Lonchura striata: one gene and its partners. The protein of the gene in region 1 binds, or shares a complex with, the protein of each later gene. Links are inferred from orthologs where the notes say so. Each region holds a gene or a part of one and is shown on either strand. Other genes may lie near its edges. The genes, in order: POLR1B, POLR1E, TAF1C and POLR1F.

The links.
Region 2: the proteins of POLR1B (region 1) and POLR1E are in contact, whole or in part, in a cryo-EM structure (PDB 8A43), measured with the Homo sapiens proteins. The link is inferred for Lonchura striata from reciprocal best matches to the Homo sapiens genes POLR1B and POLR1E. Residues at the interface, in NP_061887.2 of Homo sapiens: Lys254, Ser258, Phe259, Ser260, Tyr262, Gln263, Gln266, Ser295, Thr296, Gln297, Ser338, Thr340, Glu341, Ala532, Cys535, Pro541, Ile542, Asp543, Gly544; in NP_071935.1 of Homo sapiens: Gln27, Ser29, Asn30, Gly31, Tyr69, Thr76, Leu79, Lys80, Cys81, Leu84, Cys85, Met109, Gln110, Pro111, Leu112, Phe113.
Region 3: POLR1B (region 1) and TAF1C share a complex: the UniProt entries of both Homo sapiens proteins name them as parts of the pol I pre-initiation complex. The link is inferred for Lonchura striata from reciprocal best matches to the Homo sapiens genes POLR1B and TAF1C.
Region 4: POLR1B (region 1) and POLR1F share a complex: the UniProt entries of both Homo sapiens proteins name them as parts of the RNA polymerase I (Pol I) complex. The link is inferred for Lonchura striata from reciprocal best matches to the Homo sapiens genes POLR1B and POLR1F.

What each region holds. Positions count from the first base shown.
Region 1 is NC_134605.1:18,959,165-18,966,428, reverse strand, and holds the start of POLR1B (DNA-directed RNA polymerase I subunit RPA2), read left to right. Parts: upstream 1-4,250; coding exon 4,251-4,394; intron 4,395-4,471; coding exon 4,472-4,639; intron 4,640-6,600; coding exon 6,601-6,747; intron 6,748-7,264. Other genes in the region: TTL (tubulin--tyrosine ligase), read left to right, coding at 807-924. UniProt on the Homo sapiens protein: Catalytic core component of RNA polymerase I (Pol I), a DNA-dependent RNA polymerase which synthesizes ribosomal RNA precursors using the four ribonucleoside triphosphates as substrates.
Region 2 is NC_134642.1:86,297,293-86,304,669, forward strand, and holds the start of POLR1E (DNA-directed RNA polymerase I subunit RPA49), read right to left. Parts: upstream 3,004-7,377; 5' UTR 2,912-3,003; coding exon 2,845-2,911; intron 2,750-2,844; coding exon 2,646-2,749; intron 2,459-2,645; coding exon 2,382-2,458; intron 1,309-2,381; coding exon 1,223-1,308; intron 700-1,222; coding exon 644-699; intron 1-643. Other genes in the region: ZBTB5 (zinc finger and BTB domain-containing protein 5), read left to right, coding at 4,894-6,918. UniProt on the Homo sapiens protein: Component of RNA polymerase I (Pol I), a DNA-dependent RNA polymerase which synthesizes ribosomal RNA precursors using the four ribonucleoside triphosphates as substrates.
Region 3 is NC_134642.1:39,697,895-39,705,854, reverse strand, and holds the start of TAF1C (TATA box-binding protein-associated factor RNA polymerase I subunit C), read left to right. Parts: upstream 1-4,947; coding exon 4,948-5,079; intron 5,080-5,167; coding exon 5,168-5,261; intron 5,262-5,408; coding exon 5,409-5,515; intron 5,516-5,602; coding exon 5,603-5,698; intron 5,699-5,779; coding exon 5,780-5,850; intron 5,851-5,936; coding exon 5,937-6,184; intron 6,185-6,258; coding exon 6,259-6,369; intron 6,370-6,481; coding exon 6,482-6,605; intron 6,606-6,715; coding exon 6,716-6,787; intron 6,788-6,906; coding exon 6,907-7,042; intron 7,043-7,136; coding exon 7,137-7,265; intron 7,266-7,411; coding exon 7,412-7,586; intron 7,587-7,700; coding exon 7,701-7,838; intron 7,839-7,960. Other genes in the region: TMEM8B (transmembrane protein 8B), read right to left, coding at 30-504. UniProt on the Homo sapiens protein: Component of the transcription factor SL1/TIF-IB complex, which is involved in the assembly of the PIC (pre-initiation complex) during RNA polymerase I-dependent transcription.
Region 4 is NC_134603.1:126,368,772-126,376,658, forward strand, and holds the start of POLR1F (DNA-directed RNA polymerase I subunit RPA43), read left to right. Parts: upstream 1-4,876; coding exon 4,877-5,112; intron 5,113-5,195; coding exon 5,196-5,337; intron 5,338-6,445; coding exon 6,446-6,654; intron 6,655-7,887. UniProt on the Homo sapiens protein: Component of RNA polymerase I (Pol I), a DNA-dependent RNA polymerase which synthesizes ribosomal RNA precursors using the four ribonucleoside triphosphates as substrates.

The DNA of each region.
Region 1 (7,264 bases):
ACTTGTATCACACAGCTCTGATTTAAAGAGGGAAAAAAAATGGCTGCTGTAAGCAATAAAAATCCCATCTTACTGTCACATAGCCCCAGTGGCATGGACTAAAAGACATTGTTAATCCTGGGAAAAACAGGTTTGGTACTAAATGCGTCCCAGATGCCAGCACATTTAGGAACGTCACACATGCGTTTTCTCCAGCAGAAAATGAAGCTGTTGTTAACTCAAACACCTCTCTTCTCCCTAATCCTGCTGTGCATGAGCTGTGCCATGGTAAAACGCATCCCACATGTCTGAGGGTCCTGTGAAGCCCCTGTGCCTGGTCACAAGCTGATGTGTACAGCTGCACCCCAGCACAGCATTTCATCAAACCAGGAATGCATCAGAGCAGACCCTCTGGGGTACATTCCTGTGTGAACAATGTCTGGAGCAGTAAATCCCAACTCCCTGAGTTGGAAAGCTGCTACAGGGAGCCCTGAGATGTTTTCTGCTCCTTTGCATTTGTGGAGACTCAAGTCTGGGGCCTGAGAGTCCACAGCCTCTGACTGTAAACATAGATAATGGGTTTTGTGGTTCTTTGTGAAAGGGAGAAATATTGGGAATTACCACCATGGAAAAAGAAAATATTGGTGTAAACAGGGAGGAGGTGGAAGAGATACTGCTCTCCTCCTATTTGCCACCCTGAAACTCCTTGTAATGGGAATAGGATCTTGTAGATCTTGCTGGGAAAATGGATTTCTCCATAAAAATTGGCCAGGCCTCTGCTGGTTTGGCCTGCCTGGGTATCTGATTCTCTCTCTCTCATTTCTTAGGAAGCTGTATGCAGAGCTCTGCCAAGGAATTGTGGATGTAGCCATCTCCAGCGTTTTCCCCCTCAGCGACACTGGGCAGAAGATGAACCAGTCATCATCAATCTTCATCAAGCTGTGATGATGACACAACTGCCACCACTGTGAACAGGGAGAGACTGCACCCCTCGTGTCAGCACAGTTCGGTGGCTTATCTCAGTAACATGCCAAAAAGTGATAGAGACAGGCTTCATATTTTCCGGGAGACCACAGGGAAAAACAACAAAACAGGCATCCTCACAGAGCTGTGATGAGCCAGAGCTGCTCAGATAACTCTGCCTGCATTCACCAAAATCCACTTTAGAAACAGCTTCTGTGACTTTGATACCTGAAACAAATCTCTCTGGGAGTACAACAAAACAACCTTAAAATGAAACCCCAGCAGGGATACTGTAATGCTGTATTAGCTCCTCCTTTTCTATAGAGATAACATTGGGTTTTTTAAGGGAATTGAGTGGAGAGAACGGTGGAGTTGTGCTCCTCCCGCTGTGTTTATTCTTTCCTCACCTACTGCATCATTAGTGCCTTAGCTCGGCTCCAAATAGGTGACTCCTTTCCTTTGTTCCTGCTCTGTTACATAGAAAGGAGCAAGCTCTCCTGGTGCCTAAAACCAGGAACACCAAGAAGTCAGTTTCCTTAGGTCATTTTCCAAGCTGGTTGGCTGAACACCTGGGCAATGGCTGGCAAAAGGGTGCTGAACTGCAGGTGGTGAATTAACCCAGGCAAGAAAGGTGATTTTCTTTATTTATAGCTATCCCTTTTCCTATTGAGATTTGAATCAGTGTCTGTCCCAGTCTGAGGCAGTTGGATTCTGCTTAAAAGAGGTAGAGAGACCCCCTCGGAGCTCACCAGCAGGCCGTAGGATTTCTAGCATCACTTTTGTGCTGAGTGTTTCAAGTAGCAGAAACCTGATCCCAGTTTCTTCTGAGGCACTGCAGTGAACTTAGGCTCTTGTCTCAGATTTTCCCTTCATGATTTACTTGAGGCTTGAACCTGAAATTTCTACCTAATCCCATTTGAGCCAACCGGTTTTATTCTCCTCCCTTTGACAAATACTGTAATCTTCTGCCCTGAACACAGTCCACAACTTGATCTTAGCTAGGGGCAAGGTGGGTGAGATTTTGTAGACCAGGAGAGACATTCCTGTTTGCCACACATCTGGGAAATCAGGTGCTCTGGGGGGAAGGAGGGGTTAAATTTCTTGAGATCTCTGTATTTCAGAGCTAGCATCTGCTTCAAGTATAACTTAAATGCCTGTCAGGTTTCTCCCCTTGTGAAGTGTATCTGAATTTGCAGTGTGAGCCCAGCACATCCCTCTGGGAGGGAGAGATGGTCATGGAAAGAAACAGGTTCCTGTTCCCCATAACAAACAAACTAGAAGACATTGTGGAGATTAGAAGTTGCCTGCGTATAATGGGAAGTGAATCAAGCAATGGAATTTCTGCCCTCCTCAGAAGAACCTAGCATTTTGGTGTACTCATCTCTGCTTGTGATGGAGATTTCAGAGTTCTTCATGCAGCAGACAATCCTGACAGGAAGGGGCTGGGTGATAAGGAGGGAGAAGGATGTGGGAGAAGGATTGGTTGGGTTTTTAACTTTATGATCGCACAGAGGTGTCAGAACTTCACTGCAGTCCAGGTGAAGAATGGTGGTAACTCACTGAGGTAAAATGTAGGCTGTGAAGAGTTGTTACTCATTAAGTTCACCACATCTCCACTGACATTTTCATGTTAGCTTAGCTGAGCTTAAAAACTGCATGTTTTCTGCTCTGCAGTGGGAAGATCTCACAGCAATTGCTTTCATCCAGGATGTGTCTGAAGTGACAGCTGAGCTCTCATAAATGCTAGGGCAGACAAGAACAGGAAATTTTCCCCATCACAATAATCCAAGAAATCCTCATATTCTGGGGTGCTAGACCCATCCTTCCCCTCAAAAGGGAAATTTAGATAATGCTTGGTAGTAGAGCCACAACTACAGATGATGCAGCTATTCTGCCTTTCCAGATGGGCTTGGGGGAGGTAGTGTTTGAGGGACACTTGAATCCTCTGCTGAATTTTTCAGGAATAAGCAGCATTCTCTGGAGTAAAATGTGTATTTTTCACCTTCTCTCAAAGTGTCCCCCAAAGTAAAGCACAGAAGGTAAATGATAAAGGACAGAGAGCACAGTGCCTAAAGTTTTGCCCAAAATACTAGCTATGAGGTGGAGTAGAGGATGTGTATGTGGCTGAGGCCTGGCATTGCAGCCATGGGTGCACCTTGCAAGTGATGCTCACAAGCCCCTGTGAGACTTTTTTTTTTGTTTCTTTTTTTAGGAATATACAACAATAAATGTTTTCTAGTTTATTTCAGCTGAAAGGTCAATAGACAAGGTCTTACTCTCTTTCCTGAGCTTTTACCCAGGATACTTCTGGGTTTCCAGAAGACACCTACCATACTACAGAATGTCTCTAGTCTTAGTTGTATCCCTTCATGTCATCCATGAAGAATTTCTGGCCCAGGTGTTCTGGCTGCGTTGTCCAGCAGGGTCTGGTCCCACTGGACTCTGGGTTTCAGGTAACACCCATGTGGCTTGTTCCATACGAGTTAGTCATGTTGTGCTTCTGCTGAAATCTGGTGGCTGCCCACAGTCCATGGAGAATGCCGGAGAAGTCTAAGAAAGGCTCGAACGCTGATTGCATCCAGGCGACTGTGACCAGTGCCCTTCAGGACTGCTTGCATGTCCCTGCTCGCAGCATTTCTTGTTCTCCACACGCAGCTCTCCCCCCGGAGAGCAGGGCTGTGCCGTTCATAATCGTGCTCCATGACCGTGTCTGCTGTGGCAGCCCCTGGGGAACCCTGGTGTTGAGACGGTGTGAGGTACGCGGGGCGCTGCCGCCCGGCGGGCTCGGGATCGTGCGCCCAGCTGTTCTCACGCCAGCATGTGCATGTGGGGCTGGCGAATGCCTGAGCTCCCGGCTCTCCGGTGAGCTCACATCTGTCCACATCTCTCCTAAATCATCATTAAAACATGCAAACCCCACCGCCTCTGGTGTTTCCTTGGGGCAGCGCGTTCCTGCGGTGCCAAGCCCCAGGACCCCGGGAACCGGCCTCAATCCCTGGGCTGTCCCGGCAGCGGTGGGAGCCGGGGAACAGCGGGGTTGTTCGGAATTCCAGGCGTGCGGAAGAAGTGGCGGAGAGTGACGGGGATGGGTGGGTGGCCAGGCTCCCGTTCCTGGGGCGTACACGGATGCACGGGGCGACCGGGATCAGGGGCTGCGCGTCGGGAGGAGCGCAGCGCGGGGGCCGGAGCGGCGGGGCGGGCTCCGGGGACGGGAGCGGGCGGGAAGCGGCGCGCACGCGCGGGAGGCGGCGCGAGGCGCGCACGCGGCGCTTCCCGCGGGCCGCTTCCCGTGAGGAGCAGCGCGCGGCATGGCGGGCGCCGGGACGGGGTCGCGCCCGGACCCGCACCGCCTGCGGCGGCCGCGGCGGGGCACGGCCCAGCGCCACCTCACCAGCGCCCACATCGAGTCCTTCAACTACGCCGTCAGCGAGGGCGTCTATCGCGCCGTGCAGGTGCGGGGGGCGCGGGGCGGGGGGCGCGGCGCCGGGCCCGCTCCCGCCCCCGCCGCCCTAACCCGGTGCCATTGCAGGAGGTGCCTTCGGTGGAGTTCGCGCTGAAGGACACCCGGCTGGCGCTGACGCTGGTCGGGGTGTCCATCACCCCTCCCGCCGTGCCGGCCGGGACGGTGTGCCAGGAGAGGAGGGTGTTCCCAGCGGAGTGCCGCGGGGTCCGCAGCACCTACCGCGGCAGGATCACCGTAAGTGCCCGCGCCCACCGCGTGTCCCCGCACACGCGTGTCCCCGCCCTGTGGGGCTGCTGATCCCCGCACACGCGTGTTCCTGTCCCAGCAGAGCTCTGCACACGCGTGTCCCCGCCCTGTGGGGCTGCTGATCCCCGCACACGCGTGTTCCTGTCCCAGCAGAGCTCTGCACACGCGTGTTCCCATCCCCCTGCGCTGTAGATTTAAAGGCCCTTCCCGGCTCTCCGATCTCCCGCGGGGTTCAGGGAGCGCTGCCCCCGTGGGCTCTGGGGTGTTGGTGATGTGCGGCCTCGCTCTTTTTCCCCCGCACGTCAAGCTTGTCGCGGTCCCGACCCTGCTGCCCTTCTTTCCTGTTTCTCCCTGCAAGCAGCCAGCTAGCTTGCAAGTCCTTGGATGGAGACCCGTGTCATCCCAGAGAGCAGCATAATCCAAATCTTGTTTCTGCAGGAATCTAGGTTTCAAAAGCAGCGTTGGTCCCATACAGAAGTCCAGAGCTATAAATCTCTCCTGTTCACAAGTTCATGGTTTTTGTGAAAAGCTTTGTAATTTGCGCGGAGAGGAAGCATCCCCAGCAAATATTTTCCTTTGCAGTGTGAAAGGATTGCACGTGGCTGTTTTCTGTTAAAATTATGTACTTGTGTCTGAACTGATTGCATATGTGAGGCACCTGGTGCAAGGGACTGCTTGCTTGGAACTTCAGCTTTTTTGCTTGCTTTCATTTGTGTTGGTTTTTTTAATTTCTCTGCAGCCTTTAATTTCTCTGAATACCTTGCCATGATGAAAGTCACTCTAAGTGCAGTACCTTGTCTGAAAATGAAAGTGGGACAGTGCAGATTGTTCATAGCTGTATTCCCAGTGGATCTTAGATTTTCCTGAGCTACAGCTGGTTTTATTTTTCTTACCTGAATTATTTTCCTTTTTTTTTTTCATTGTCTGTCTAATTATTTTTTGAATGCTTGGAGCAGTTAGAACAGTTTGCTGTGTCTTGAGTGAAAAGGCATTATCTTGTGCTGGGAGAGGTTAACATCTCCCCTTCCCTGCCCATGCACAGCAGAAAACAGTCAGTAACCATTCCCTGTTTCCACTGTGCTGCCTTAACTCCATATCCCTCCCTCAGTTCCCACTGCCCCAGAGTAGGATGTGAGCCCCAGTCTACTGAGCAGCTGTAGACCCTTAGTCATCACTTCAGGTGTAGACCAGGCTGTAGCAGTGCCTGTGTAAGGCTGCCCCGTGGATTTAAAGAGGCACAGTAGCATTTCCCTTCCCTTTTCCAGTAGTTTCTGAGACTGTTATTCATGTTTGCTGCTGCCAGATGCTGAACTCACGTTCCTGTGTTGCAGTAATAATGTTTCTTTCCTGCAGGACAGCAGCTCTTTCAAAGCCCATCATTCTGCATGTAAAGTTAGGATTCTTTGCTCCCACAGTCTTCCTGCAGACCCACTGCCAGAACTTGTTAATAAATTTTTTTTTCCTGCATGCTTTTCTTTCTTGCTTTTAAGATCACTCACAAATGTGCTAGGTGAAGAAAGGAAAGATTTTGTCATGCCTGTAGTGTGGATGTCTTTTTAGTCGACACTTCTGTCTTCTACTTTTAACTGTTAACCTTCTGAACTTTTCTTACCTGTGGCTGCCTTTTGTTTGTTTTGTTTATATTTAGGCTGCTCTGCTGAAGGGTCTGGAAGGCAAAGGAGGCTAGACCAACTTTGTTTACTCACCCAGAAGCTTCTTTACCTGACTCTAGACTTGTATGATTTTCTTCTGTAAACCTATGTTCACTGTTCCCCTGAGTGTAATCTTCATGCATGTATCTACTGGCTCCTTTTTTTATTATTGTTACCATTTTACAGTGATACAAGTCCGTTCAACTGTTTGTGGTTGTATGAAAGGTGCAGTTAATATAGCAGGAGATATTAAAAGGGCAACTTTACTTTCTTACTGTTGGTGTTGTGTTGTTTTAGGCCGACATCAGCTGGTCATTGAATGACACGCCACAAGGGACTATCAAACAGCCCCTAGGATATATTCCAATCATGGTGAAGTCCAAATTGTGCAACCTCTATGGTTTTTCTCCACAAGACCTTATGCAGCATCGTGAGGAAGAAGAGGTAATGGGGATTTTGAGGGTCAGGAAAGTCTGTGTTTTACCTGAGCAGTCTGTCAGGCCACTTTCTCTTTGCAGGGCTTGAACATTTATATTTTGTTTCAAGTTTGACTTTCCATTTTCTCTTGAAAGCAGATTGTTTATGGGGGCTTGATGAAGCAGCTTGAGAAGTTGCAGCCATGGCTGTTCTTGAACACAGGGATCTGTTTGGTGTCAATACCTACAGTTTTGTTATAGAACCTCTCAGCTGCTACACAGCAACTGAGAGTGCTGTGAAGGGGACTGTGAGGAAAGATTTGTAGAATAGGCATTGAAAGAGACATTTCCATTCCCAGTTGTCTTCTGCAGCTTTTTCCCTGTCTTCCCAGTAGCATGTTAGCTGTGTATAATTGAATACATACTTATTTAGCACTGCATTTTGAACTCACAAAAAAAGAGAGAGAAAACTACAAAAGAAAATTGAAAAAGTAAGCTTGTATGTGACCAGACAGATATCTTTTGCTCTGAAAATCCTTCTGGTT
Region 2 (7,377 bases), on another chromosome or scaffold:
ACACCCTGTGCACCCAGGGAACACAGACCCCAAATCCAACACCCTGAGCACCAGGGAACACAAACCCCAAATCCAACACCCTGTGCACCCAGGGAAATCCAACACCCTGTGCACCCAGGGAACACAAACCCCAAATCCAACACCCTGTGCACCAGGGAACACAAACCCCAAACCCACCTGCACAAGGCAGAAACACAAACTGAAACTCCCTGTGCACCCAGGGAACACAAACCCCAAACCCCAAATCCATCTGCACAAACAGAAACACACACTGAAACCTATGCACCCAGGGAACACAAACCCCAAACCCACCTGCACAAGGCAGGAACACACACTGAACACAAACCCTGCTGCTCCTCCCACACTTTAAACTCCTCCTGTGGCAGGACCCGCAGGTGCAGGGTGCGCTGCTCTGCGAGGGGCAGGAGGTCACTGGGCTGGTGACCAGCCTGCAATAACCAGGTAAACCAAGAAAATGAGGAAAATGCTCCTGAGCCAGGCAATGCTCATGCTGCCTCCTGGACACTGGGAAAATGCTGGCCCTGCACAGGTTCACCCTACAGGACAGCAAACCTCCCAGGCTGCAGACAAGCCCCTCACAGCTGGACAGTCACAGCAGAGCAGGACACAGCTCCAACCTTACCTTCTCCCTGTAGGATTTCTTCTGATACTCCTTTGTGTCGTCAGGTATCATGTTATCTACAAAACAGCAAGAGTCAGTTTGCTTGCACAGAAGAAGCAGGACAGGAATTCCTTTGGCTCTGTGACCGACAGACTGGGCACAGGACCTGCTCCATGTCCCCTGGCTCAGTAAAGGACATGACAAATATGAGAACCTAGGAAAAAAGGCTTCTTCTTCAAAGCCTTACATGCAATATATGGACTATGGCCCAGCCCACGTCCTGCTGCTCAGGGTAAAAATCAGCCACAATAGATGTGACCCTTTGGGCAATGACAAAAAGCAGCCCTGCTGGATAAAACCTGTGGGTTTTTGGTTTTATTTTGTTATTCAGGGGTGCAATTCCTGCTGAGGGTCAGGCTCCCTCAGCAGAAGGCTCCCAGAGAAGGCAGCACCTGAGCAGTGAGGCTCTGTGAGTGCCTCCCCGCCTGTAGAGTCCCTGCTGAGCCCCCAGCCGTGCTCCCCCTCCCAGGCTGTGCAGGAGCTGTCCCTGTCCCTGCCATGGGCACCAGGACACAGCCCCGGGCTGCCAGCACCTCCCACCTGAGAGCAGGGGCTGCATGTTGAATATTTCAGCATTGTAGACCTCCATCTGCCCAGAGCTCCTGTCCAGCACGCCAACAAAGTACCTGGGGAGAACAGGGCACTGATCAGCGAGAGGCAGAGAGCAGAAATCATTTCAATGTCATGGTTGTCTCACAGCCCAGCAGCTCTCCTGCCTTGCACACACAGCACTACAATAAGCCAAGGCTCCTCCATGGCATGTGTGCACACAACAACAGAAGAACTGATACTCTAAGTAAGTGCAGAAGTCCTAAAAACAACTGAATTCGGTACAGTGTAGGTGCCAGAATTCTGCTTTTTTCTCTTAAAGTGTAGGTGCCAACATTCTGCTGTTTCCTTTTCCCTTTCTTTTTGCTAGGCAGGACTCGATGGCCATAGCTTGAACAACAGCTGAATTTCCAAATTTCCTCCCAGAGCTCATGATCCTCAGAGCTGCAGGCAAGCAGCCCAGCAGCCCCCAGACCACTGGCTCACCAGTGTGAGGCCCGTGTGCTGCTTTGCTAGCCCCAGCAGTGCTCTGCTAGCCCCGAGCAGTGCTCTGCTAGCCCCGAGCAGTGCTAGCAGTGCTCTGCTAGCCCCGAGCAGTGCTCTGCTATCCCTGAGCAGTGCTCTGCTATCCCCGAGCAGTGCTCTGCTATCCCTGAGCAGTGCTCTGCTATCCCCGAGCAGTGCTCTGCTATCCCTGAGCAGTGCTCTGCTAGCCCCCCCCAGTGCTCTGCTATCCCCGAGCAGTGCTCTGCTAACCCCGAGCAGTGCTCTGCTATCCCTGAGCAGTGCTCTGCTATCCCCCCCCAGTGCTCTGCTAGCCCCACCCAGTGCTCTGCTATCCCCGAGCACTGCTCTGCTAGCCCCACCCAGTGCTCTGCTATCCCTGAGCAGTGCTCTGCTAGCCCCACCCAGTGCTCTGCTAGCCCCCCCCCAGTGCTCTGCTATCCCCGAGCACTGCTCTGCTAGCCCCACCCAGTGCTCTGCTAGCCCCCCCCCAGTGCTCTGCTATCCCCGAGCAGTGCTCTGCTAGCCCCACCCAGTGCTCTGCTAGCCCCCAGCGGTGCTCTGCTAGCACCATGTGCTGCTCTGCTAGCCCCCAGCGGTGCTCTGCTAGCCCCCAGCAGTGCTCTGCTAGCCCCGTGCTCCTCACCTGCACAGGGAGCTGCACTTCGTCCCGTCGGTGCCGAAGTTGTGCCCCACGTAGCAGAGCCGCTCCGTCTCCGAGACCTGGGAAAGTGGGAGAGACCCCTGGAGAGGGCTGAGGGACACCAGGAGAGCTCCTGGGGAACCCAGAGACACCAGGATGGTTCACACCCCCCGCTCTGAGCCCGTTATCCGCCCCTGCCCCGCCGTGTGCCACTCCCGCTCCATCCCGCACCCCGGTACTCCGGTACCGCGGGTGCCGGGCGCTTACCAGGATCCTGTGGTGCTTCTTCCGCGGGTGCGTCGCCTCCCGGTGCCGGTACGCGGCGAAGCGCAGCGAGTCGGGCCGCTCCAGCCGGCCGTTGGCGAACCGCACTAAGGGAGAGGAAAGCCCGTGAGGCGTGGGGCCGCCGCCACCCCCGGGGCCGCTGCCACTCCCGGGACCCGCCGCTACTCGCGGGGCCGCTCACCGAGCGCCGCCGGCAGCTCCGGCTCGGGGTCCCCGCGGTAGCGCCAGATGGCGGTGGCGGTGGCCATGGTGAGGGCTGGGCCTGGCTGGGCCGGGCTGGGCCGGGGACGCCGCTCGGTGCCGGTGCCGATGCCGCTCCTCCGCCTCTTCCGCTGGTGCTTCCGGTCGCGGCAATAAGCCCAGTCCCCATTGGGTGAGGTGAGGCTCCACCGCCGCCTGGAAGTAACGGGGCCGCCGGTTGGCTGCCGGCGCGGCGCGCGCCGCCCGCGGCCGGAAGTGACGTAGGGTGTCGGCGCGGCGGGGCGGGAGCGGGGCCGGGGCCGAGCCCAGGCCCGATCCCGATCCCGGTCCCGATCCCGAGCCTCGCACCGCCCGTCCCGCACCGCCCTTCCCGCACGGACACCGCAGGTGAGCGCGGCGGCGGGGGGCGGACACCGCGGAGCCCAGCGCCGGGCGACACCGTGGCTCTCCGGTGTCCCCGGTGCGGCCGTGCGCGGCACGGAGCGCAGTGCCCGCTGCGCGGTCCCCGCTGCTGGTGCAGCGCGGCGGGGCAGGTGCTCCTCTGGGAGGGGCACGCATGCTGGCTGGTCCCGGTGGTGCGTAAGGGAAAAACGGGGAAATAACGGGGAGAAAACGGGGGAATGGGGCAGTGTCTCGGGAAGAGCAGCTCCCGGCAGGAGAACCCAGTCATCGCAGGTCGGGTGACGTTCCGGACTCTCAGAGGCTCTAAATCACTTCATTTTCCCGTGCTGAACAGTGCAGGTGATGCCAGGTGAACGATCTGCCGTTGTGACTCCCTCCGAGGACACGCTGGGATTCCGGGGAGAGCCCCCGGCCAGCACCGGCAGCGGTGGCAGGGAGCAGAGAGCAGCAAACAGCTCCGTGTTTGAGGACGGACCTTGCTGTGCACCCTCCTCAAAGTGTGATCCCGGCCGTGTGCCCTTTCTTTCAGGCTGCACTGGGGTCTGGCTGTGTTGTGCTCTTTCCTTCAGGCTGCTCTGGGGTCTGGCTGTGTTGGGCCCTTCTGGCTGTGCTGGGCTCTGGCTGCATTGTGCCCTTTCCTTCTGGCTGTGCTGGGGTCCCGTGCCCGTCAGTGCTGCTGCAGAATAATGTGAGCTCAGGAACTGCTGTGTGTGTGCCTGGGGAGTGCTCACCGAGCCTTACACGGCACGGGGAGAAATGGAGATACTCTGAGGGTCACCTCCGTGGTCCTGAGGTTGATCTGCAGGACAGGTCTGATGTTAGGTGGTGAGGACTGGGGAGAAGCCAGCCCCGGCTGCTGGCTGCTTGGCTGGCTGGGCAGTGCCGTGTTTTTCTGGGGAAGGTTGCCCAGGTGTGCTAGCAGTGTGTCAGAGGGACAGCAGGTCGTTTCGATCAGTTTCACCAACCAGAAGCGACTGTTTCACAGTAGGTGTGGGTGTGAGGAGACCCACGCAGTCTGGGCTCCAGCACAGCTGCCTGTGTGTGGCTGGTGCTGAGCTCAGGCTCGTGGTGTTGTCACTGCTCCTTCTTGTCCTCCCGACCTGCCTTTGGTGCTGTGCCCATGTGCTGGTGGGACACTCAGGGCTGTTTGTCTGTCTGTCTGTCAGCTGTCAGCTCTTGTCCTAGCTGCCAGGTTGGCTGCAGCCCGGCCAGGAGTTCAGCCGTAGGATCACACAGCAGCTTGGCTTGGGAGGGCACCTTGTCTTCTTCCACCCCAGCCAGGGCAGGGACACCTCCCACTGTCCCAGCTGCTCCAGTCCCAGTGTCCAGCCTGGCCTGGGCACTGCCAGGGATCCAGGGGCAGCCACAACTGTGCCAGGGCCTGCCCACCCTGCCAGGGAACAGTTCCATCTTGTGCTGCTGTTTTTCAGTTTGAACCCAGTCCCTGTTCTCCTTCACTGCAGACTCCCATGAATAGTCTTGTAGCCCCTTCAGGCCTGGAAGGCCGTGGTGAGGCCGCCCTGCAGGCTGCACAATCCCAGTTCAGCCATGCTCTGCTTGCAGCAGAGCTGCTCCCCCGGCCAGCCCGGCGGCCCACACAGCGGTTCTCTTGTGTTTTTGCAGGACCATGGATTTCCCTGGGCACTTTGAGCAGGTCTTCCAGCAGCTGAACTACCAGCGGCTGCACGGGCAGCTGTGCGACTGCGTGATCGTGGTGGGCAACCGGCACTTCAAGGCGCACCGCTCGGTGCTGGCCGCCTGCAGCACGCACTTCCGCGCGCTCTTCACCGTGGCCGAGGGCGACCAGAGCATGAACATGATCCAGCTGGACAGCGAGGTGGTGACGGCCGAGGCCTTCGCCGCGCTCATCGACATGATGTACACGTCCACGCTGATGCTGGGCGAGAGCAACGTGATGGACGTGCTGCTGGCCGCCTCGCACCTGCACCTCAACTCGGTGGTCAAGGCCTGCAAGCACTACCTGACGACGCGGACGCTGCCGCTGTCGCCGCCCAGCGAGCCCGCGCAGGAGCAGAGCGCGCGGCTGCAGCGCTCCTTCATGCTGCAGCAGCTGGGGCTCAGCATCGTCAGCTCGGCGCTGGGCTCCTCGCAGGGCGCCGAGGAGCCGCCCGGCGCGCTGGGCGCGGCGCTGCGCGGCGGGCTGGAGCAGCGCGCCGCCTTCCCCATGCGCCGCCTGCACAAGCGCAAGCAGTCCTCCGAGGAGCGCGCCCGCCAGCGCGTCCGCCCCGCCATGGACGAGCCCGTGGCCGACGTGGCCGCTGAGAGCGGGCAGCCCAGCGTGCACTCCCGGGAGGATTTCTTCTCTCCGGACTCGCTCAAGATCGTGGACAACTCCAAGGCCGACGCGGTTGCCGATAACCAGGAGGACAACACGATCATGTTCGACCAGTCCTTCGGCGCTCAGGAGGACGCCCAGGTGCCCAGCCAGTCGGACAATGGTGAGGGGAACATCTCCCAGATGTCTATGGCGTCCCAGGCCACGCAGGTGGAGACCAGCTACGACCAGGAGGCTGCTGCTGAGAAGAGCAACTTCCCGTGCGAAAACCCCGAGGTCAGTCTGAACGAGAAGGAGCACATGAGGGTGGTGGTGAAGTCTGAGCCCCTGAGCTCCCCGGAGCCCCAGGACGAGGTGAGCGATGTCACCTCGCAGGCGGAGGGCAGCGAGTCGGTGGAGGTGGAAGGAGGAGTGGTGAGCGCAGAGAAGATCGAGCTGAGTCCCGAGAGCAGCGACCGCAGCTTCTCGGACCCGCAGTCCAGCACCGACAGGGTGGGGGACATCCACATCATGGAGGTGTCCAACAACCTGGAACACAAGTCTTCTTTCAGCATTTCCAACTTTCTGAATAAAAGCAGGGGAAGTGGCTTTGGCGCCAGCCAAAGCAACGACGACAACATTCCCAACACCACCAGCGACTGCAGGATGGACAGTGACGCCCCTTACCTGATGAGCCCGGAGTCGGGGCCCGCCGGCAGCCACTCGTCCGCCGCCGTGTCGCACGTGGAGAACCCGTTCAGTGAGCCCACAGACTCCCACTTCGTGCGGCCCATGCAGGATGTGATGGGTCTGCCATGCGTGCAGAGCTCCGGCTACCGAGCGGCGGAGCAGTTCGGCATGGATTTCCCACGCTCCGGCCTGGGCCTGCACTCGCTGTCTCGGGCCATGATGGGTTCTGTGAGAGGCGGAGCCGGTGGCTTCCCCGGCTACCGCCGCATCGCCCCCAAGATGCCCGTGGTGACCTCGGTGCGGAGCTCGCAGCTGCAGGAGAGCTCCTCGGGGTCGCAGCTGATGATGAACGGCGGCAGTTCCTTCGAGGGCGGGCACCTGTCGCAGCCAGGCCCGCCGCAGCTGACGCGCGCCTCCGCTGACGTGCTGTCCAAGTGCAAGAAGGCCCTGTCGGAGCACAACGTGCTGGTGGTGGAGGGTGCGCGCAAGTACGCCTGCAAGATCTGCTGCAAGACCTTCCTGACGCTGACGGACTGCAAGAAGCACATCCGCGTGCACACGGGGGAGAAGCCCTACGCCTGCCTCAAGTGCGGCAAGCGCTTCAGCCAGTCCAGCCACCTCTACAAACACTCCAAGACCACCTGCCTTAGGTGGCAGAGCAGCAACCTGCCCAGCAGTTTGCTGTGAGCCCGGCAGGCAGGCGGGCGGGCGCACACCGGCGTGCCACGGTGCCAAACATAGTCTTGGCTCTGCCATTGGGGATATCCGGTACCTACCTCGCGGGTGTCGCCGCCGGGAGCCGCGCGGCGGGATGGGGATGCGACCCCCACGGCCAAGAGCCCCTTTGCAGGGCAGAGGGGCGACAGCACGGGGGTCTCCTGAAATAGCACGGTTTGAGAACAAGAAACTGACGTGCGCTTTCCTTTCTTTTTGTCTTCTCTCTAAAGCGTTTTGTAACAGTGGAAGCATTTAAATGATTACTGTAACATGAGTTGCTGCATTACCTGAGGATGGAGCTGCAGACCCCTTACCTTTCAAAGAGGAAAACAGCTTAGGCTGCACCTGTCTGACATAATGCTTTAAAATACGCTACTTACGACGATAGTTCTAGGATTATGAATGTATGTTTGGCTGTTTTGTAGTAAA
Region 3 (7,960 bases), on another chromosome or scaffold:
TCTCTAGAGACACAGCAAGAATGAGATACCCCTTTTCACAAGCTGCTGGAAAGGAGGAGGCCAGCAGAGGGTAGGCTGGGAGCAGGTCTGTGCCCAGGAAGACTCATCCAGCATAAAGTGGGATAGCTGAGAAGAGGGTCTGCTTTGCACCACATGTTCTTGGTGAGGAGTGTGCGCATGTGCTTGCATGCACGTGTGTTTGTGCTGCGTGTGTGCATCCCCAGTAGGCTGTACACTGACATGCATCTGCTCCCTTGTCTGGAACAAAGGCAGCTCCCCCTCCCCTTCGCTCCCAGCCGGCACAAGCCAGACATGAAACACCTGCCTCCTCAATGCAAGAGCATCCGATACCAATTTCTCCACCAGGAACGACCTGGTCATTCCACAGCCCCACGTGGGGACAGTGACCTGGCGCGGGACTTCAGGGAGGGTGTTGAACACAACTCCAGAAGGGGAACTGGGGGAAGGACCCGGAGCTACCCAGTCCCCACACAGGCCCCCCATCCAGGCTCTTTCATCCAGGGCAATGTGAGGGAACTGGTTGCATGCAGAGGGTCAGACTGATGTGGCATGGTAGTGCAGCCAGAGCATGGGAACGGTGCTGGAGGATGGAACGGGACTGCTATCCACGGAAGCAGAGTGGATGGAAAGAGAAAAGCCAAAGCCCCTCTGCTTCAGGCCGGCCAGCGGCCTGAGCCGCAGGACCCCAGCCCCGCTGCTACAGCCTCAGGTCTCGGCCACGGTCAGCACTGCGGACAGCTCCGCGGCCGGCGGTCAGCACCGCGCACAGCTCCCGCTGCCGCCCCCCCCGCTGCACCCTAGCACCGGCAGCCCCCGGCCAGCTTCCCCCCTTCCCCCTCGAAGCCCCTAAGTAACCTTCCGCACCCCGTTCACCAAGCCATCTCCTTGCCCCATATCCTGCTCCTGGTCTTATACTGCCGTTGATGTATCCCACGCACATCCTGACGCCCCGCTGGACACACACCCCCGTTTCTGCAGGCTGTCCATCTCCGCTGCTCCCCTGCACGCACACAGCCTTCTGCCCTGCATCTGCAACTCCCCGGGCCCACTCATTGCCCACGCACACGCCTCCCTCCCAGGGTGTTCCACTGCCTGTGCACTGCCTGCATCCTCCTCGCACGCACAACTCTGCACCCCACTGCTCATCTGTCTCCATGCCTCACTGCATGGGTACACCGTGCCCCACTGCACGCACATCCATGCATCCCATTCCACAGACATCCAGTACCCTCTACACAGGCATCCCTGTACCCCATTATGCAAACACCCCCCTGCAGACGCATCTCTGCACCCATCGCACCCACCTCATGTCCCAGTGTAGATGTACCCTGTGCCCCATGGCACCCCACACCCAACTGGGGACAGCTCTGTACTCTGCAGCATATCTGCCCCAAAGCCCACCGCATAATGGCCCCATCCCTTGTGCCACACTCACCGTGTCCCGTCACAGGTGCACCCCACATCCCAGGATGCCATCCCCCCATAGCTGCGTCCTTATGCTCCATCTCACCCACACCCTGCCCCACTGCATGCAAACCTCACATCCCATTGCTCATGTAGCTCATCCCAAGCTACACAGGTACCCACTCCAAGCTCACCCCCTGTGCCGCACCACATGGACCCCCGCAGCCCACACCTGCAGCCCTTCTCCCCACCGCATCTCACCCACTCCCTGCCCCGCAGCAGGCACACTCCGCATCCCATTGTTCGTGTACTTCACACCCATCCCAAGTTCATCCCTCTGCCCCACGGCTCCTCACGGAGCCCTGTGACTCACCTCCAGCCTTCCTGCCCACCGCGCACACTCCCGCGCTCCATTCTCACCTGGCCCACCCCACTGTGTGCACACCCCACATCCCATTGCTCGTGTACCTCACGCCCACCCTACACGTTCATCCCGCTGCCCCCGGCACGCTGTCCTGTGCTCCTCCGCACGGACCCCCGCACCGCGTGCCTGCAGCCCCCCTGCCCACCGCACACACCCCCGTGCTCCAATCCCACCCGCCCCGCTGCGCGCACCCCCCACACCCCGAGGCTCCCGTACCTCACACCCATCCCAAGCTCGTCATCCCTTGCGTCCCGCCGCACGAACCACCGCTCTCCGCTCCACCACCTCTCCCACCCACCGCACACACCTCCTCCGCGGTACCGCCTCGCCCCCGCCGCGCCGGCACCCTCGACGTGCGCTCCCGCACGCCGTCCCGCGCTCGCCCCGCCGCCCCACGCCCGCGCCCCCCGCCCCGGTCTCCCGGCGGCGCTCACCGGCGGCGGGCGGCGGCAGGAGCAGGAGCGGCAGGAGCAGCAGCGGCAGCGGCAGCGGGAGGCGCTGCCCGCCGCTCCCGCCGCCCCGCCGGGCCATCGCCGCCGCCGCCGCCGCCGCCGCCGCGGCTGCCGTGGGGCGCGCGCCTCCGGCCGCCCCGCCGCGCACCGGCGGCCCTGACGTCATCCGCCCCGCCCACCGGGACAGCCTCCCTCGTCGCCATTGGCCTCCGGGCACGTCAATCACCGGCGGGCGCGCCACGCCCCGCCCGTTCCGAGAGACAATTCCTCCCCTCCGATCCCCTCGGGATGGACCCGGCGCTGACCGGGGCACTAGGGGACAGCGACACGAGCGGGAATGGAGATGGGAAGCTGCGGGAAAGGGGCACCGCGTGGAACCCGAGATATGGGCCGGGAACTGGGGCACAGGGCTGGGCACAGGGACATGGCGCTGTAACGGAGATAGGAGCCGGGAACGGGGGCACAGGGCAGAGACACCGTCTGGAGCAGGGACACGGGCTGAGACCAGGAACAAGGCGCTGAGGGCAGGAACATGGTGCTGTAACTGAGATACGGGCCGGTAATGGGGTCACAGGGCTGGGGGCAGGGACATGTCTCTGGAACTGAGACATGGCCAGGAAGGGGTCACAGGGCTTGGGACAGGGACATGGTGCTGTGACAAGGATATAGGCCGGGAACAGAGATATGGGGCTGAGGGACAGGAACATGGGGCTGCAAACAGAAACATAGGTTAGGGGAGAGGGACAGAAACAATGACTGAGGACAGTGATGTGGGTCTAGGGGATAGGGATACGGGTCTGGGGACAGGAATATGTCCTGGGCACAGAAATATGTCCTGGGTACAAAAATATATAATGGAGAGGGACATGGAGTTGCTGGCATGCCCTGGAATTAAGGAAACGGATGGAAGGCAGCGAGGGCTACCTATGGAGCTGGAGGTGGTGGGGCTATCTACCCCACAGAGGGCTGTGTAGGGGGGTCAGGTGGTTTTCTATCAGTGGTTACCACCTTCTAAAAGCAAATTGTAGCATGTATCTTAGAGAGGAGGTGTCCCACAGAGGGGGTCTGGGCACCAGACTCAGGGATGCAGGATCCTCAGACTGCAGGGATGAGGCCATCTTGACTGGAAACAATCTCATCATGCTTTCCCAAAGTCCCCCAACATCATCCCCAGACTCTCCTGACATCACCATCCTCCTTGGCCATAATGGAGAAAGCAGGTTACTACTCATGGGCATGCTCCTCTCCCATCCTATGCTCCACACAGGGCACCCTGGGAGCTGAAGCAGGAGCAGCCACCCCACCATGTCCCTAGCCTGACTGCCCAGCAACCCTCCCCAGAGCACAGACCCCCATGCAGGCATGGCTGGAGGTTCCCTCCCCAATGCAGACCTCACCAGCACAGCTCCGGGGCCAGTGGCCTCTGACACAGGGAGGTAAAAGGACAGTTGTCCCTCAATGAGAAAGCTGGTCATGCTCTCCTTGGGAAATGGACTGGGGAACTTGTCTCCCTGCCAGATACTCTCCAAAAGCTCCAGGATCCCATCAGAACCCCATGGGACTAACATGAACTCTGTGTGGGTTCCCATGGGAGCTTGGTGGGTCCCTCGTGGGGAGCCAACAACCACCTTGTGGGGAGGAAGGAGCACAGAGCTGGGGTGGGAGTGGGTTCACCAAGGCCAAGCAGGTGTGAGGAAGGGCAAGGTGGGATTGGGAACTGGCATATCCACAACCTTCCAGGAGCTGACCTTCAACTCCACAGCCCTCAGATATCTGAGACTGTCCCATGGCCCCATACACTCCGCTGGAGTGTGGGGTGCCCCATGGCCACACAGCCGGGGCCACGGAAAAACAGGTGTGCCTCTGGCAGGTCTCACAGGGGGGTTTCACTGCTCTCGAGGCGGGCAGAGGGAAACAATGCCCGTACTCCTGCCCGTGCCCCGGCGGGGTCCTGACCCAATAATTCTCCTGTGCCTGTCCTGCCCCGGCCCTATCACACTATTCCCTGTGCCTGCCCGGTCCTGCCCCAGTTCCACCGCTTCCCCTACCCATCCCGTCCTGTTTCCATCTCATCCCACCATTTCCCTCCGCCCGTTCCCGTCCCGGTCTTACCACTTCGCTTTGCCCTTTCCCGAATGGGTCCCACCTCTTCTCCCGCCTGTTCCCGTTCCCGTCCCGTTCCCATCCCAGTCCTACTGCTTCCTTCTCTCTCTCCCGTTCCCATCCCAGCCGCACTGCTTCCCTCTCCCTCTACCGTTCCCGTCCCGTTCCCATCCCAGTCCCACCGCTTCTTTCTCCCTCTCCCGTTCCCTTTCCTGTTCCTGATCCCATCCCAGTCCCACCGCTCCTCTCTCCCTCTCCCGTTCCCGTTCCTGTTCCCAATCCCGGTCACACCCGTCCCCGCTCGTTCCCGGTTCCCGTCCCGCTGCCGGCCGTACGTTTTTACCCTCCGGCCGCCAGGGGGCGGTGGCGCCCCACATGGCTGTACCGCCGTCGGCGCTCTGTCCCGCGCTGTTCCCGGGCCGCTGATTGGTGAGCGGCGGCAGCAGCGCGCGGTGACGTCAGTGGCGGTGGCCGCGCCATCCCCGCCGGTGGCGGGAGCGGCGGCCCGGCCGCGTGCTGCCGCCTGTGCCCAGTGCCGCGGCCATGGAGTTCCCGGCCGCGCTCTTCCCCTCCTACTTCTGCGCCGGCCCGCCGCGGGAAGAGGGCGGCCCCGCACCGGCCGCCGGCTGGGGCGAGCACGGGCAGGTGCTGGAGGGTGGCCCCGGCCGCCGCCAGGTGAGCCCCTGCCGGGGGTCCCGGCGGGCCGAGGGAACGGGCAGGACGCTCATGGGCCGCTCTGACTCTCCTCCTTCGCTCCCCGCAGGTGCAGCCGGCGTTCGTGCCCCGCCGCGGCGCGACGGGCGAAAGGTGGGAAGCCGCCGACGCTGCGGCCGTGCCGGTGCTGCTGCCCAGAGCGGGTGAGAGCCGCGGGAGCAGGAGGGAGCTCTCTGCACGGGGGCTGGGGGAAACATGCCTCCCACGTCTATCGCTGCCGCTGCCCCGCAGTGCTGAGCGGTGACCCTGTGCTCGTGTGATGCCAAGCCACCTCTGCCTTCTCCCCACAGGCTGCTGGATCCCCTCGCCTGCACCTCAGGACATCCTGTACCGCAGCAGCCTGTGCAGGAAGCTCCGGATAGGCAAGTCTGGAGCCACTCTGGACTTTGCCAGGCAGGTGGGATTTGAGGCATTGCATCCTGGCAAGGAGCTATTTGGCAAGGACCTTTGCATGCACTGACCCTTTCTCCTTCTGCCCACACAGCTGGGCCATTTCTTTGTGGATCACCCAGAAGATGCTTTTGGCTCCCTGGGGCGTCTGCTGCACAAGAACTTCTATCTGGGAAACGCCAAGCTGAAGGTCACTGTCTGTCCAGGAGTAACAGTGCTGCTCCCCTCCTTTCCCCTTGCCAGTCTCAATCTCTGCTCCCTACTCCTGTAGAGACCAGCCCGGAATAGCACCATCCGGATGACAGCCCTGTTGGAAGACATTGACCGCCTGGAGGCCCGACGGTGAGTGTCCCTCTGTCCCCTGCCCTGCAGCAGTCTAGGGGAGTTCCTGCTCTGTCCCCCAACCTGATGCTGTCTATGCCCTGCAGCGGCTGCCCCCGGCAGCACTTGGCCTCCCGCCTGCGCTGGTTCTCCCACCTCTGTCGTGACTGGCTCTTCGAGGTGCCGCTGGGACTGCTGGCAGACTGCCTGCATGAGGAGCTGACGCAGCAGTGGTCCAACCTGCTCTTTGACGACAGCCTCACTGGGGGGGCACTGGCCTGGTTGCCCCCTGAAGACGGGGGGACAACCAGGGGCTGCCTGGTGTACCCTGGAGGGCAGGCTATGAACCACCTCTGTATCCTTGCCCATGGGATGACCCTGGGGAGGGAAGTGGGGGTTGTGTTGCACCACCCTTAGCCAGCATCCCAGATTTCCAGGATGTGGTGCTGGAGGGGCTGCCCCACACCCGAGGCTCCCCAGTGCAGTTTGAGCTCAGCGGGCGCATCCGGCAAGTGGCTGCAGCCCGTGTGGATGGGCAAGGTGAGCCAGCCCCAGCATCCACATCTCAAAGCAGACAAGATGTAGGGAGGAGGGGCAGCAGGGCACTCCTGGGATGTTGCCAGATTACATGCCAACTCCTTCCCCCTGACAGATTTTGTTGGGGTTCGCTCAGACTATCACTGTGGTGTTTGGAGGGTGCCGGGCAAGACAGGGGCAGCTCCTGCCCCACTACAAGTGATCCGCACCGATGTGCCTGCCTCCTGCCTCACTGTCAGGTGGGTGCTGGAGGAAAGGATTGTGCGTGGGGGGTGCTCTGCTGGCACAGCCCTGCTCTGTGTGGTGAGTTCTGTTGCACAATGATGATGCTGTGTCCCCTGTCCTGCAGCCCTCACCTTCCCGGGGAGCTGTCTGTCTGCACCCAGAGCGGGACTGTCTACCTCTGGAGCGTAGAGACCGGGTGAGATAGGGCATTCAGGGCTGTCTAGGGACACATGCAGACAGTGGAGTCTCGGGGGGTGGGAGGCCCAAGTGACTGGGGCAGCCCTACCCTGTGCCAATACTACTGTCTCCCCACAGGCTGCAGAAGCTCCGCCATGACTCCCAGACCATGTTTTTTCGGGACCATTCACCCTGGCGCTGGAGTGACTTCACAGCTCACCCACGAGTGCTCAGCTGTGCTGACCGCACAGGCCTGCAGTGCCTGGATGCCCGGGTGAACTTGGGAGGGTGGGTGTGTTGCTTGGAGCAGGCAGGGAAGAGGGTTCCACAGCCCAGAGTGCTGACTGCACCCTGTTCTACTGTTTCAGGCCCCCAAGAGATGCCACTTCGACTTGTTCAAGGTGGGCGAGGAAGCTGGCTGTCAGCAGGGCGAGCGTGTGGTGCTGCCCATGTACCTGGGTAGGGCTCACCCCTCACAGTACCTTGTCACCACCCAGGTGAGTCCCACCACAGCTGGGAGCTGGGGAAGACACGACACACAGTTGTGTCTCCCAGTGCTTATGGGGCATGAGGATTTTCCAGTGAGGGGAGCTGCCACAGTGCGTTGAGGTGTGTCCTGTCTGACCCAAGACTTCTGTCTTAGTTCTCCGTGTATGTGCTGGACGAGCGGTTGCCACTGGTGCCTGTTCTGAAGTGGCCACATATGATGAAGGCCCCTCCACTCTTTGCACACCTGATGCCAGGGAAGCCCGAGAGGAGCCACAGGGTGCTGCTCGGTGCGTCCCGCACCCAGGAGCTGTTGCTGTTGCAATACCGTGGTAGGAAATCAAGCTCCAGAGCCAGGGCTGCTCTGTACCCATGTCCTAGCTGCTGGGATCAGCTGCTGTTCTGGCACCTGTGCTAAACAGACGGTATTTGGGGTGTTTCCTCAGGGGGCAGCCAGTCGGCCTGTCAGCTGGCTGGGACTCCGCAGAAGCTGCACAATATTGCAGGGTGCCTGCAGCACCTGCCCACCCAGCTCCCACACCGCCACCACCTGCTCCAGCAGCGCCTGTCAGCTCCAGCAGCAGGTGAGTGTCCCACTCTGCCCCAGGCTGCAGGTCCTGGTGAGGGAGAAGGTGGAACAGAGTGAAGTGTAGCCTTTGTCATGGCCTGGCTGGAGCGTGGCTGAAAAACCAAAAGCAAAGCCCCG
Region 4 (7,887 bases), on another chromosome or scaffold:
TCTCAGAATATAAACTGCAAAATAGCACAGACAGATTGTCAAGAGACATTTCATTCACCCCATTTACAACCTGTGCATCCATCTCATTTGTTAGCATCATTCATCAGAGCCATTCACAGTGCTGCAGAAAAGCCTCGCTGCTCTCACAGTGGCACAGGCTGCTTTCCTCCCTTGTTTCTGTGGCAACATCACCTCTTGTTTCTATGAGAAAGGTCACGTTGTCATACTGTTTAATCCACTACCTGTACACATTTCACTCACTGGCTGGAAACAATACAGGAGAGTTTCAGCATTAGACCAACAAACAGCCAGACCTCCACAGCTCATAATGCCTGTGCTATTGAAACTATGCCTTCAATCACCAGTGGAGCTGGAGAGGGGCACCACAGTCAGCACCAGGCATCCTACATCAGGCTCATTATTTCTACAGATAGAAGGCCAGTGAGCTACTTGAACACAGATCTTTCAGTAATATATTTATTTCAGTAAATATTATATATTTATATTGCATATATCTGTATAATATTATATAATATATAATATTTCAATAATATATTTATAGACAAGATATTTTACCTCCACAAGAGTGATTGCCAGCCATATCAGCCATTTCCCAGCAGGCAATAACCTACTTTTAGACCAAAGGCAAATCTAGTCAATCCCCAACTGTTCGAAGATGTCCATCCCAAGAACAGAATCACAGAATTGCTTGGATGGAAGAGACTTGAAACATTGTCTAGTGCCAACTCCTCCTGCTGCAGGGAGGGATTCCTTCCATTGGCTCAAAGTCCCATCCAATCTGCCTTTGAACACTTCCAGGGAAGAGACATTCACAACTTTCGTGGGCACCAGGTTTCAGTGGCTCACCCTAACAAGGAAGAACTTCTTCCTCATATCCAATCTAAGCTCACCCCTTTTCAGCTTGAAGCCAATCCTCCTTTGCCCCACCACTCCATGCCCTTGTAAAAATCCCTCTTCATGTCTCTCTTATAGGTCCCCTTTAGATACTGGAAGGTGCTGTAAGGTCTCCCTGGATTCTTCTCCTCTACAGCCTGAACAACCCCAACTCTCTGTCTGTTTTCACAGAGAGGTGCTCCAGCTCTCTGATCATCTTCGTGACCCTCCCCAGGACTCACTCCAACCGCTCCCTGTCCTTACATCATGAGTGTCACTACAAATCAAGATGAATTATTAGCTGAAAGAAATTAACATAATTGCTGTCTTATCGCATTTCTTTCCCTTAATGTTTTTCAAAGTCATTTCCTAGCTATTAGGGATTGACCTACTAATTGCTGACAAAACAAAGAGTCTGCATAGTGTAACACAGATTAAATTTTCAGCCAGGCATGCAGTTCCTCTCGTTCTCTTGGATGACAGCACTTACCCATACCAAGGCTTTTGTGTGCCATCTGGTGGACTTTCAGCACTTGGTACATTTTGTTTAAGTACAAATAAAGAGAGTCCGAATGCACTGTCAGGAGAATCTACCTTCTTTGGCCATTGACAGTTTCATCTTATCATCCTGTATTTGCTCAAATTAATGTGTGCCTGACAGTAACAACTTAATTCCTCTCACATTTGCAGTCAAATGAGCCTTTATTACTGTAACTGTTGTTATCTTTAGCTAACCCTTTGCACTGATAGATTTTATACGTAACTGAATGGTCACCCTTTCAAAAATAACTTCCACAAAACAGAATTCCTATCAGAATTCCATATATAGAACCACAAGCTGACAATTCTCAATGGCATTTAGATATTTCATTCTCAATGACTAAAAATGCTGCCATTAGTCTCCATTTGTCATGAGGTCAAAGATATTGAAGCAAGCCTATTACCATGCAACTTCAAAAACAAAACTGAGAGTTTTGAGCACTCATTCTTCCTTCTAAGTATGAAAGCAAGAACTGTCATTAAAAATACTGCAGGGTTAAAAATGAAAAAGGAGAAGCCAGCTAAAACATTTGAAAAAAAATCCAGAGCACCATTTTTGTACTGTATCTAACTAATGCAGCTGAGGCATTTCTTAATTTATCCTTTTTATAGAGCACAAGCTGTGGGATAAGGATGTGATGGAATAAATTTCAAAATGCACAAATTCCTACAGCAACACAGTCCTAACGGGGAGTGTATTTCCTACTCCAGCACACTGCCATCGGTTTTCTTCCACTCTGCAAGACTTCCAGGATTTTAAGGCTGGATGAGGGCCACTCTCTGAATGAATGAGTTGCACCTGCCACAACAGAGCATCAATAAGCAACTGGATGAACTTTACACCCAACATACATTGTCAATTCAGAAATCTGAATACAAGATGGCAGTGACTGTATGGATAGAAAAGACCAGTTGAGAGGTGCTGAATTTTTTGTTTTCAAGGAATCTCCTTTTTGGAATCTGGCCATCCTTTCACAGAGAGAACAAGACTAACCCAAATAAAACAGGAAGAAAAAGAACAGCAGTGACTGCAAAGGCACCTTTTGGGTTTGGTCCCCATTGTTACTTGCAACCTGACCTCTAGAGAAAATCAGGCTCAGCACTGTCTTATCAGCCAGTCTGGGACTTGGCAAACATACCAACAGCTGTGCTGGTTTAGACATTGATTTTAGCTGCCTTTTTGGACACAGGCTCACTGGAGTGCTGCTGAAAGGTCAGCCGAGACAGACTCCTTAAGCTGAAAGCTAACACCAAGAAAAGTTATACAACCAGGGAAGAGAAAGAAGCCAAGAAATGAATGTGGGGATATCAGCATTTAAGTCTTATGGTCCAGGTGGTTTTAAGAACTGATCTCTGGCTGGAGGAGGTGGCATTTGGATTGAGATTCCTTCTTTTATCAGAGTATCTTTTACAGAGAGGTAGTGAGTTCAAGTCATACCATGAGTCTGAAATCTCTACAAGCCTGCAACACAACACAGCTTTTGGTACAGACAGACCATGCTGCACCAGGAAGCAGTGGCACCTGACAGGTGTGGAGTTGCAGAGAAAAACAGCTGTTGCTGAGGCCAGGTATTTACAGTTAAAGGATTTCAAACAGACTATTTTAAATTATTTCTGCCCTACCACACAGACTTAATGACCATTAGGATTTAAAGTTCATTCTCCTGATTGCTTTAGCCCGAAAGGAGATCTGGAAGTCCCAAGAGCGCTGTGCAATGAAAACCAGGCACGGTAGCAAGGAGAAATGGAGATTCAATTAGAAAGTACAGACTCAATCTTGTAGGGAATTTTCTGGTGACAGAAGTTCATGGGGATAACCTTGGAGAGCCACAGGCCCTGAGAGACAGAGCCCTTCTGACACCATCTTGGCGAGCCAGCCTGACTATGGGGTGAAATACAAAGGTCCACATTTTTGTTCATGCTGTTTTTCCATCTTATTATTAGTTTTTATTTTAAGAGCAAAGGTAGGTTTTTATTATCCTGGATAAAACTGAGTAGAGCCCTTAGTGTATTATATGTTCTCACTGCAAACTAAATCCACCCATAAATAAGAGTTATAAAAAATATATTTCTTTTAGGAATAGAAGTGCATGTAGTTATAGTTTAAGGTCTTTAACCAAGATTGAAAGCACATTGCAAGGTTTAAATATGATCCAAATAGTTGAAATAAAAAATATAATATTTTTTCCAGAAAGCTGAGACCATATAACATGAAATTAATTTCAACAGACATTAAATACCTTGGAGGACTAAAGCCACATAAGAATACAGATTAAAGTAGTTCAAGACATTTTCTCTTTCGATTTTGGAGTTTGGTATGACATCTGAAAGCCATTTTTATGTCAGGTCTTTCACACTAATCCAACTTTACTTGCAGTAAAGTACTGCAAATTATACCATTTGTTTTACTTGTGAAAGCTAACAATGTCCTGTCTTCACAGTATGTTCAGTCAAAGAAAACTTTCTGGTGATGTAGTGTTTGAGTAGTTTCAAAGGCTTTTGCATCACTAAATGTTTTATAGGGAGTTCAAGGATTTCTGGTATCTGACGTAAGGCTTGTTTTCACAAAACAAGTGTTTCTGAGCCCTCCACAGTATAAAAGGAATTTTAACACCTTTAATGAAACCGACAAATTTTTTTTTTTTTTTTTTGGTAACTCCCCATGTGGGTTCAATCAGTTTGAAAGTGTACATTTACTGTAACGAGTCAATATAAATTAGACTTAAATCAGTGAGAGAACACCTTTTGAACGTTTTGCATTAGTTCAGTTGAATCAGTTTAAAGTAAAATCCTGCTGCGCCGCTTTGCGTGGATATAAAGTCTGAATTACTTTTCTGGACAAAGCCTTCACTAACCAGCCACAAATTCCATCATTCGTAACTGGACAAGGTTCTAGTACTGCAGTTTGTAAAGGTTCTAGTACTTTGTACGTAATTGCAGTGTAGAGTGCACCAGCAACCCTTTTGAGGACTTGTACTTTATTTTGTTGTCCTGTTATTAAATGAATTTAAACATTTGTCACCATATACACAAACTGGATCTGGGGTGGGGCAACAGACTACAAATTCTGTATTTTAAAACTGCTGTATATGAAGAATAAGGCAATTCGTCGCCGTGTCATTTGCCTGGATGGCCAAATGCCCAATGTACATTCACAAGGCACCGCGACGCGTCTCCCGCCCCGGGGCGCGCGGGGCTCCGGGGGGGCTCCGGGCGCCGCGGGTGCGCTCCCCTCGTGAGAGCCGGACCCGCCGCTCCCTCCAGCTCTGACCGGCCCGTGCCGGCGACACGCCAAGCGGGCTGCAAAGACTTAACACCGCCGCCGCTCTGCGGCACGGAACACCCCTCCGGAGGCGAGCACATCCCCCGGAACTCCGTCACGGGCGCGGCCGGCGGAGGGAGGCGGCTGACGGCATCAGGCGGCGCGGCGGGCCCGTGGCGCATGGCCGTGCCGCGGCAGCCGCCCGCCGCCCCGGCGCCGCCGCCCGTCGCCCCGGCGCTGCCGCCCGCCGCCGCCCCGTCGTTCGGCGCGGCCCGCGCGCTGCTGGCGCGCCGCCACTCGTGCCTGGTGGCGGGGCCGCGCCGGCGGCACGTGGCGCTGCCGCCGCGCTTCCTGGGCCGCAAGCGCTCCGGCATCCGCGCGCAGCTGGACGCCGAGCTCCTGCGCTACTCCGAGAGGTGCGGCCGCGCGGCGGCGGGGCGGGCCCGGCCCGGCCCGGCTCGGCTCGGCTAACGGTGACCCCTCCTCATTGTCCTTGCAGCCTGCAGGGTGTGCCCGTGGCTTACGACAACATCAAAGTGGTGGGGGAGCTCGGCGACATCTACGACGACCAAGGGTTCATCCACCTGAACGTCGAGGCGGACTTCATCATCTTCAGCCCCAAGAAAGGGAAGAAGCTGGTGGTATGCTTACGGCACGGGCTTTTTTTATTAAGTGGTCAAAACTTGCCTTATCTTCATCAAGTGCTCTGGCTCTTACGTGGAGACATAGTTTATGTTAGCTTATCCACTTATGAGTAGTTCATAGCAGTTTATTACTAGCTTGTTCTACAATTTTTATTGTTGTTTTTCTGTTTTGCACGTCTCTAGGTTTGTTGAATTTCCGTATAATTATATATTGCTAAACGGTTGTGTCATAAGCATTGCATGTTTAATAGTGTATCATAAGCGTGTATATCGTACCGGTGCTCCATTCTGAATAGCAGATAATTCTCAAACAGGTGCATTTGTTATAGTGATAGGAATGTTTAGGATGCTCTCCAGTTTGGTTCCTCCAAGCACAGGACCAGTACATCGAGCTAGCCTGCCTTTCACTAAAGGAGGTGTGTGCTCACAGAACAGCTTTAAACTTGTCAAAACCCTTGCTGAGCACTTGTGGGTAAAGCACGTTAAGAGTTGGCTCGCATTCATTGTTGTGCCATACCTTTTGCAGCACAGATGGTGTCTTTATAATTGTGTTTTAAGATGAATGTGCCATCTTCCTAGGAGGATAATAGAAAAATTTTTGATGTCTGTCGTTCATCCTATGGGTGAAACAAAGGTGGATATGGTTTCATATGCATATGTGTCAGAAACCCACTGAATGGAGTATTTAGAAGCTTTTTATGTGTCTTCCCTATCTTCAGCTGCTAAGTACTTCTGTGCCAGCTTGAAGAGCATTTTAGGCAAGTAAATCAGACTTAAAATGGCTTCAAAGCAAAGTTGATCGCTGTAGTGTAAAGAAAAGAGTTACCTACTCTATTCACGTATTCACTGTAGTTAAATCCAATGTTTTGACTTCCTCTCCTGCAGTTTAGTTCTATTTTCAGAGGAATTGTATGAAGACTTTACAGAACTAACTTTGATTTTAATGAAGGAGCATTAACTTATTGCTAGATAAACTGGCTTCATAACTTGTACTGAAACTCTTACTGAAAATTTTCCATATGGGAAGGTAAATATTTAAAGGGTTTGCATTGAAGGGGCTGATTTTTGCTATAGACTTGCATGACATTATTTTTTTCTTTTTTAGGGCATAATTAACAAAGTGGCCCCTAGTCACATTGGCTGCCTGATACATGGATGCTTCAATGCATCTATCCCAAAGCCTGAACAAATGTCCATTGTACAGTGGCAAGAGCTGGGGTTAAAAATAGGGGATGAACTGAAATTTCAAGTGTTGCACTTGGATTCTGATACAGCTGGGGTGTTCTTCATTCGAGGAGGACTCACTAAAAGCAGGTACAGTGCCTTAATAGAGAATTTTTTTAACTGATTCAATACATTTTTTAAGATGCAATTAAAATCACTTAGATTGTAATCTTTCAGTGTTCTTATTTTTTACACAAGTATGTATATAGCTGTATATATAACTATATATATATATATATTTTGTCTTAAACTAAACTTTCTGCTCTTTAGGACTCCCATGGGAGTTTTCTCTGGAAAAAGTAAAACTAGGTGCTTCTTGAGCTTTAAAAATCCGAGTGTGTTGACCTATTAATTGTCAATTACATATATAATACATGCTCAAAATAATGCATCCAGGTGTCCAAAAGTAGCTTTGTGCGTAGGCTTTTCAAGTGCAAACAGTCCAGGGGTCCTGAACACAGTGGTTACATTGACAGTTGCACACAAACACATGCATGTGCATTGTATAATGACAAATATATGACTTGCTGAAACATGAGAATTTCAAAGAGAAGAAAATGTGTCTGCTTCCTCCTTAGGCCTCTGTAAATTTATGGGGCACCTTGAAAGAAATCTTGTCTTCAGAAGAGTTCATTCATGTTTTAAAAGAAAAAAAGTCATTTACTGAGCAATGTTTTTCTTTCAATATGGTTTTGATTAATGTATAATATAACTCCTACTGGCAAATTCATAGCATTTTTCGTTTGTTTCTTCTTTTAATCTGGAAGGATGCTCTGTGTCGTTTCAGTGAAGTTACAGTGAAAGTTAGCAATTTTGTCTTCAGTGCCTCTGTGGACATAAGAACCTCCATGGTTTTTAACTGCATTCTTTCCATATTTGTCTTAGAATTTTTTTTTTCCAGTGTTCTTGGTTGCAAGCTACCTGTTAAGGTGGGGGAGTAATTTAGTGTTTTTTGGTGGAGGTTTTTTCCTTTTTTTTTTTTTTTTTTTTTGTTTGTTTTAATTTTTTGGACATCACTTTTGTTTGAATTAGAGTAGGGTAATTGCTTAGTAAAATCAGCAATGTGCAATGTGCCTCATATATGACTGAATAGGCCACTAGCTGTGTGTTTTTGTGAATTACTTAAAAAAAAAAAAACAAAAAAGCTTTACAACACAATGTGTAGTTATGAATTAGGGGATGAAGAAGCACAAGAAAAGGGGAACTACCAAATGATCTATATGACACTTTAGAGAAGAAATTTAGCCTAAGATTTGGAAGAGAATATTTATTATGTGGTAAGAATAGAAATTACCCTGAGAGTATTAAACTTTGATTCTCTGT